Linked DNA regions of Callithrix jacchus. The protein of the gene in region 1 interacts with the protein of each later gene in a biochemical or structural test. Links are inferred from orthologs where the notes say so. Each region holds a gene or a part of one and is shown on either strand. Other genes may lie near its edges.

What was found.
Region 2: the proteins of GLG1 (region 1) and SELE form a complex in vitro, tested with the Homo sapiens proteins (2 studies listed by BioGRID and IntAct). The link is inferred for Callithrix jacchus from reciprocal best matches to the Homo sapiens genes GLG1 and SELE.

Annotation. Positions count from the first base shown.
Region 1 is NC_133521.1:31,778,027-31,781,844, reverse strand, and holds part of GLG1 (Golgi apparatus protein 1), read left to right. Parts: intron 1-1,938; coding exon 1,939-2,102; intron 2,103-3,214; coding exon 3,215-3,290; 3' UTR 3,291-3,818. UniProt on the Homo sapiens protein: Binds fibroblast growth factor and E-selectin (cell-adhesion lectin on endothelial cells mediating the binding of neutrophils).
Region 2 is NC_133519.1:32,780,188-32,784,005, forward strand, and holds part of SELE (E-selectin), read left to right. Parts: intron 1-269; coding exon 270-455; intron 456-1,242; coding exon 1,243-1,428; intron 1,429-1,541; coding exon 1,542-1,730; intron 1,731-2,669; coding exon 2,670-2,858; intron 2,859-2,978; coding exon 2,979-3,167; intron 3,168-3,379; coding exon 3,380-3,556; intron 3,557-3,818. UniProt on the Homo sapiens protein: Cell-surface glycoprotein having a role in immunoadhesion. Mediates in the adhesion of blood neutrophils in cytokine-activated endothelium through interaction with SELPLG/PSGL1. May have a role in capillary morphogenesis.

The DNA.
Region 1 (3,818 bases):
ACTTTTCCCTACTCTGTCTGTGTATATGATATGAGCATAGAAACAGCCCAGATGCCTCTGGGGGAAACCATCTCAGCAGCCAGGATTGGTTGCAAAAGAATAGGGGCATGTGTACCTGGGGACCCTTTCAGTCCTGATTCTGCCATAGCAGGCTACCATTGAGGTCTGCTGGGGAAAGCAGTGGAAAACTGAGGGTGAAAACTAGCTGAGGTTAAAGTATAAATGTCCACAAGTAGAGGGCAATTAACTGTATTCTGTCAATATAAGTTACGTTTTTGGTGTAGTGGCATGAACATGGCTCACTGCAGCCTCAAACTCCTGGGGTCAAGTGATCCTTTTTGAGTAGCTGGGACCCAGGCCATGCCACCACACTCAGCTACTTTTTAAATTTTTTGTGGAGACGAGATCTTGTTTGTTGCCTAGGCAGGTCTCGGCCTGCACATTGTTTTTGTTGTGGGAAATGCTTATGATATAATGGTGAGTGAAAAAAAGTCAGAATACAGGCTGGTTATGGTGGCTCACACCTCTTATCCCAGCACTTTGGGAGACTGAGGCAGGAGGATCGCTTGAGCCCAGGAGTTTGAGACCAGCTTGGGCAACATAGGGAGACCACATCCCTACAGAATTTTTTTTTTTTTTTGAGATAGAGTTTCATTCTTGTTGCCCAGGCTGGAGTACAGTGGTACAATCTCAGTTCACTGCAACCTCCACTTCCCAGGTTCAAATGATTTCCCACCTCAGACTCCCGAGTAGCTGGGATTACAGGTGTGTGTCACTACACTTGGCTAATTTTTGTATTTTTAGTAGAGGTGGGGGTTTTACCATGTTGACCAGGCTGGTCTCAAACTCCTGACCTCAGGTGATCTGCCTCTGTGGCCTCCCAAAGTGCTGGGATTACAGGCGTAAGCCACCATGCCTGGCCAGAAAAAAAATTGTTTTAATTAGCTAGGCATGGTGGTGCACTTGTAGGCTGAAGTAGGAGGATCCCTTGAGCCCAGGAGTTTAAGGCTGCAGTGAGCTGTGATTACACCACTGTATGCCAACGTGGGCAATAGAGCAAGACCCCAACTCACTGAAAAAAAAAAGCCAAACTATAGAATTTACAAAACATAGAATATACAGAACAGTCTCATCTTTTCTCTTTGTTTTTTAAAGAAAGGCAGCAAACGAAGTTAAAGAACATAAATCAAAAGATAGAAGAACCCATGGCCTTATAGAAGTCATTTAACCACATTCATCCCTGGGCCAGTGACTCTCCATCCAGAGTACAGGAGTTGTGAAAACTGCCTGCTAGGCTTGGTGTGAGCACTAAATGAGTGAGGGCAGGGGGAGCCCTTTGTCCAGGGCCCAGCACATCTTCAGTGTTGTGATGTTAGTGGAGATCACTGTGATGGAATTGTGGGTGACCGCACTACTTTGTATCTTTCTGTATTTCTACTTTTGTGCAGTAAACATGTATATAGTTTTATGATCAGGAAAAAGTTGTAGCTTTGTGTTGATTTTTCTTTTTTTTTGAGACGAAGTCTCACTCTGTTGCCCAAGCTGAGTGCAGCAATGTGATCTTGGCTCACTGCAACTTCCACCTCTCGGGTTAAAGCAATTCTCCTGGCTCAGCCTCCTGAGTGGCTGGGACTACAGGCACACACCACCATGCCCAGCTAATTTTTTGTATTTTTAGTAGAGCTGGGGCTTCACTGTGTTGGCCAGACTGCTCTTGAACTCCTGACCTCGTGATCAGCCCGCCTCAGCCTCCCAAAGTGCTGGGATTACAGATGTGAGCCACTGCACCTGGCTGTGTTGATTTTTCTTATCTCCTGCCCTCCCACTCCAAAAGAAAAGACATAAATTAAACTAGGAACTAAGAGGGATAAGTTAGACCTCACATTGCCACTAGCCCAGTGCTCTTTGAGAGAATCACATTGCTCTGTGTCATTCTAGGTGGCCCCAGCAGATGGCTTCTCTGATCTTGCCATGCAAGTAATGACATCTCCATCTAAGAACTACATTCTCTCTGTGATCAGTGGGAGCATCTGTATATTGTTCCTGATTGGCTTGATGTGTGGACGGATCACCAAGCGAGTGACACGAGAGCTCAAGGACAGGTAGAGCCACCTTGACCACCAAAGGAACTACCTATCCAGTGCCCAGTTTGTACAGCCCTCCTGTATAGCATCCCCACTCACCTCGCTCTTCTCAGAGGTGACACCAACACCCGTGTTAGAGCGTCAGCAGGTATCCACTGCGTTGTCCCGTCCAGCCTCCACTCATGTCCATGGTGTCCTCCTCCTCCTCACCGTTCGTGCAGCAGCAGCAGCTGGCCGCTGGGGTTCCTGCCTTTGTTGGCAAACTTGGGTTTACCTGCCTGTAGACAAGTCTCTCTTGTACCAACAGAACTACTGGTACTTCCAGAAACAACTCACCTGACCTGCAACTCAAAGGCTTTTTTTAAGAAAACCACCAAAAAACAATTTTTTTAAAAGAGAAAAACGTATATAGTAACGCATCTCCTCCAGGCTTCATTTGGGCAATGGGGTTATTTCTTTCGTATGAATGTGTAAAACCAAGACAGAACTTAGAGGGGAAGCCCTCTAAGTTGGGTGGTGACCCAGTGTGCCATTACTGAGGTGTCTTGTTCCTCTCTCAGAAGCACCTTGAGGCCGAGCCAGGGCTATGGTGTTCACCAAGGAGTGGGTGGGCAGCCGCTCCCCAGGCTGTGTGGGGTCCTGCTTTCTTCTGCTGAGAAGGTGACGCTTTCCAGTTTCTACCCTCATCAGCCATTGCCAGCCACAGCTCCAAGACCATGGGTATTCTATGGTCTCCTCACCTCATTAAAGCAAAGCATGAGCCTCCCTAGACAAGGGCAGCTGGGGAGGGGAAGGGACCGGAAGTTTGTGAAGTTGGACAGTCCACGCGTCTGCACAGAGAGGCTGGATTCCAAGTCCCCGAGTCCCCGAGTCCCTGGGCAGCAGGATCCCAGGAACCTTCCTTCTCCAGGGCAGCACAGGACTCAGCTGCCTCTGGACCGACCCTGCTCAGGCTACAGTCACTCCGGAAGCTCTGTCCTTCACGCTCTAACACATTGCGCTGTGTCATTCTAGGTGGCCCCAGCAGATGGCTTGGACTGTGGCGGGAGGGGTCCTTGAAGACTGGTGTGGGGAGCAGCAGGGCAGGAAGCGGGAGCTTGGAGTTTGACTCACTTTGCTTTATTTTTCAGGCTACAATACCGGTCAGAGACAATGGCTTATAAAGGTTTAGTGTGGTCTCAGGATGTGACTGGTAGTCCAGCCTGACCTTTCTACACACTCCAGACAAACTTCCCAGACAAGCTCCTTTGTGCCTCCGTGTGGAGAGGGTGTGGAAAGTTATCACATTAAAAGATGGAGGATTTGCTCCGTTTTTTTTCTTTTTGTCCGTTTGCTGCCTGTACCCACTCTAGTAGGCATTGGCTAATGTTGTCTTTTGTTGATTCATCAACCTTTGCAGAATATGGGCTTCATAGAAGCAGTGTTCTTGGCATCATTCCTCCAGTGTGGAGATGCCAAGTCTGGGGTGTGAGGGAGGAGTCCAGGCATCGTGGTTCAGCCTGGCACACCTTTGGTTGAGTTCGGGGCATGAAATCACAGTGGCTGCACAAGAAAGCAGTGTGTACAGTAGGAGATATATTTATATAATATATATTTTATTAACCTGTTAGATGTCCACAAAGTATTATAAATCACGTGCCTAAAACTGTCCACGTAGACCAAGGCCCACCCTTGGCGCCCTCCCCTCCCTGCTTCTGCTCTGCAGGGTTGGCACACGCTGCAGGACCCGAGCGA
Region 2 (3,818 bases), on another chromosome or scaffold:
TATAGTTTGACCAGTTTTGAGATAAACACAATCACACTACTCTCCCCTGAATATTTCTTTTTTTGTGGTTGTTGTTATGGGTTTTTGTTGTTGCTGTTGTGAATCAATATTTTCTTGACTAAAAGGGGTAGAACTACAGTCAATTTTACATATTCTATTAAAAATTTTATAAATTTTTAAACTGAAAAAACCCCTATAGTTGTAGTTTCCAATGTTCTTGACTGTGCAAGGTGAGAGATGAGCAGAGCTGATTTGGGTTTCTGTTTCAGTTGTGAACTGTCCAGCCCCGGAATCCCCTGAGCATGGAAGCCTGGTTTGCACTCACCCACTGGGAAACTTCAGCTACAATTCTTCCTGCTCTGTCAGCTGTGACAGGGGCTACCAGCCAAGCAGCATGGAGGCCACACAGTGTATGTCCTCTGGAGAATGGAGTGCTCCTATTCCAGCCTGCAATGGTAAATCCCTCTCAGAACACACAGAACATTCTCCAAGTCATCCCTTATTGCTTCTGTTTTTTAATCCAACTTATAACATTTTCAAAACTTCAGGAAAGTTCTTTTTTTTTTTTGTCTTTATTTTTAATAGAACTGATTCTCTTAACCAATGTATATGGCTAACCTAGTACCTGCCTGGGTTGAGAGAAGTTTTTATTCTACGTTTGGACTGCGTGTTTCTGGGGCTCTGGTAATTTGTAAAGGAGACCATAAAACAGTAAAGCTCTAGAACTCTCGGTGACTTCCTCATCTTGTTTCCCTGTTTAGCTTTTCTATGCTATGGGACTAACTTAAGACCGTGATCATCAAGCAGTCTCAGTATATCTTTTTGTCTTTCAATTGTATCTTTCTGAACCAGAGGCCAAAAAAGAAAAAAATCAGTTCTTCAGGTTCTGATAGGCTAAAATAAATGAATGGCCAAGGTATGTCAGTACTAGTCATAACTTCCAGTCAAAAATCTTTTTTTAAAAATTTTTACCTCATGTAAATAAGGTAAAATCTTATGTAAATGGTAACATAGGTTAGAGACCACTCAGCATAGGCAAAGTGAAAATTAATCAGAGAAGATAGAAATACCCATGAAAAAGAATAAAAGCTTTTATTCTGGCTGTGCATGTCCCTAAGAATTGACACAGGACTTTGGGATCTACCCTTTGGAGGCAGCTCCCTCACTTTGTTATACACCCACCCCAATAGGAAGTGAAAATATCATTCTGTAAAATTCACGGTGCTCTTATCAAATCCCCAGTGGTTGAGTGTGATGCTTTGACAAATCCTGCCAATGGGTTTGTAGACTGTTTCCCAAGTCCTGGAAGCTTCCCATGGAACACAACCTGTGCATTTGACTGTGAAGAAGGATTTGAACTAATGGGAGCCCAGAGCCTTCAGTGTACCTCATCTGGGAATTGGGACAATGAGAAGCCAAAGTGTAAAGGTAAAGATGCTCCACACGGAGACTTACTATTAACATTCTTTCTCCCAATACTGGAAATGGGTAAACTAATTCTATGCCCTACTATACTAATTCTTTGGGCACATTTGTTACAGCCGTGACATGCAGGGCTATCCCCGAGCCTCAGAATGGCTCTGTGACGTGCAGCCATTCCCCTGCTGGAGAGTTCACCTTCAACTCTTCCTGCAACTTCACCTGTGAGGAAGGCTTCATGTTGCAGGGTTCAGCCCAGGTTGAATGCAGCACTCAAGGGACGTGGACACCGCAAATCCCAGTTTGTGAAGGTAAGCTTGAGATCCTTTGATTTATACTTTCTTAAAGAGCAATCATCTTCAAACTTGGACAGTGAAAAAAACCCCAATACCCACTTTAACTATGGAAATCAGATTTGATGAGCAACACTCATATCTTTGAGATTCATTTAAAATAACTAGTTTGGCCAGGGAAAGGATCGTATGTATTAAGAATGAATGCTTTGCTGCTTTTCGAACTGTGATGTGCTAATATAACTTTACACACATTAGCATAGAGTAGACAGAATTCTTAGTCTGAAGGAATCATATTCAGAAAGCAGAATAATGAGAACATGATTTGAATCTAAAACTCTCATCACACCTTTCTTCTGAAATGGCTCACAATTAGCAGTGATGAGACCATTTCAAGCATGGTGTCAGTTACAGCAATAGTATTGATACATATATAAGCAGTACACGTCAATTCACTTTAACGTAAGAGCAAGGATATTGAAAATAAACAGTTTTTACCATCAGCCACTGCCTTTCTCCTAGCCAAAGCCAGCACAGAATGATTTTCAGTAGCAAAACATTATAACACAAAAACCAAACTGCAAAGCACACAAATTTTATTGGGGTGCTTTCTTCTCTTTCTTTCTTTTTGGCACCATCTATAAACATCCATGACCCATATGTTGTCCTCAGACTGTGTGAAATTGTTCCCTTGACCATAACTTCTTTTGCATGTTAGATAACAGTGCCCAGGAACTAATGTTCCTGTTAATTAGTCTTTTAATTAGTGCCATGATCAGTGAGGGGGTTGAAATTAAAAAAAAAAAACAACACCACACCCATCTTCCCATTTGTCCAGGAATTATAAAGACTCTTCAGTTACCCAAGAGTTGCTTGAATGAACAGGTTCACTCAACAAATGCCAAGTACTCTCTAGTTCCACTGCAGTATTTTCTGACCATCATTTTGATGTCTCAGCTTTCCAGTGCACAGTCTTGTCCAGCCCTGAGCGAGGCCACATGAATTGTCTTCCTAGTGCTTCTGGCAGCTTCCAGAATGGGTCCAGCTGTGAGTTCTCCTGTGAGCAGGGATTTGTGTTGAAGGGCTCCAAAAGGCTCCAGTGTGGCCCCACAGGGGAGTGGGACAACGAGAAGCCCACATGTGAAGGTATGGTGTTTGTTTTTATTTTATTTTAAGATAAACACGATTGAAGAGCTTAGGAACTTGGTTATCTTGGGAAACCAGAGATGCAAATAAACTTCTAAAGTGCTCTCTCATGTGTTCCAGCTGTGAGATGTGATGCTGTTCGCCAGCTCCCGAGGGGTGTGGTGCAGTGTGCTCATTCCCCCATTGGAGAATTCACCTACAAGTCCTCTTGTGCCTTCAGCTGTGAGGAGGGATTTGAATTACATGGATCAACTCGACTTGAGTGTACATCTCAGGGACAGTGGACACAAGAGGTTCCTTCCTGCCAAGGTAGAATTGAGTGCAGACTTTTTTAGGGTACAGGTCAAATACCTCATAAGTTTCTGAACCTAGGTTGCCCCAAGGGGGTTTGATCCTAATTTCCTACATGCCAAAAACTAAGTAGTGCTTATACATTATACTTATTGTTGACTTTTAAGTGAGTTTTAGAAGTTTTCCAGTAGATTTTTCTGAAACTCTACCTGTGTACCTAACATTTGCAGTGGTGAAATGTTCAAGCCTGGCAGTTCCGGGAAAGATCAACATGAGCTGCAGTGGGGAGCCTGTGTTTGGCACTGTGTGCAAGTTCGCATGTCCTGAAGGATGGATGCTCAATGGCTCAGCAGCGCTGACATGTGGTGCCACAGGACACTGGTCTGGGTTGCTGCCTATCTGTGAAGGTGATGCATTGATTGATGGTGGTTGTCTGGGGGATTAAAGAGAAAAGGGGCCGGGCGTGGTGGCTCACGCCTGTAATCCCAGCACTTTGGGAGGCCGAGGCGGGTGAATCACGAGATCAAGAGATCGAGACCATCCTGGTCAACATGGTGAAACCCCGTCTCTACTAAAAATATAAAAAATTAGCTGGGCATGGTGGCGCGTGCCTATAATCCCAGCTACTCGGGAGGCTGAGGCAGGAGAATTGCCTGAACCCAGGAGGCA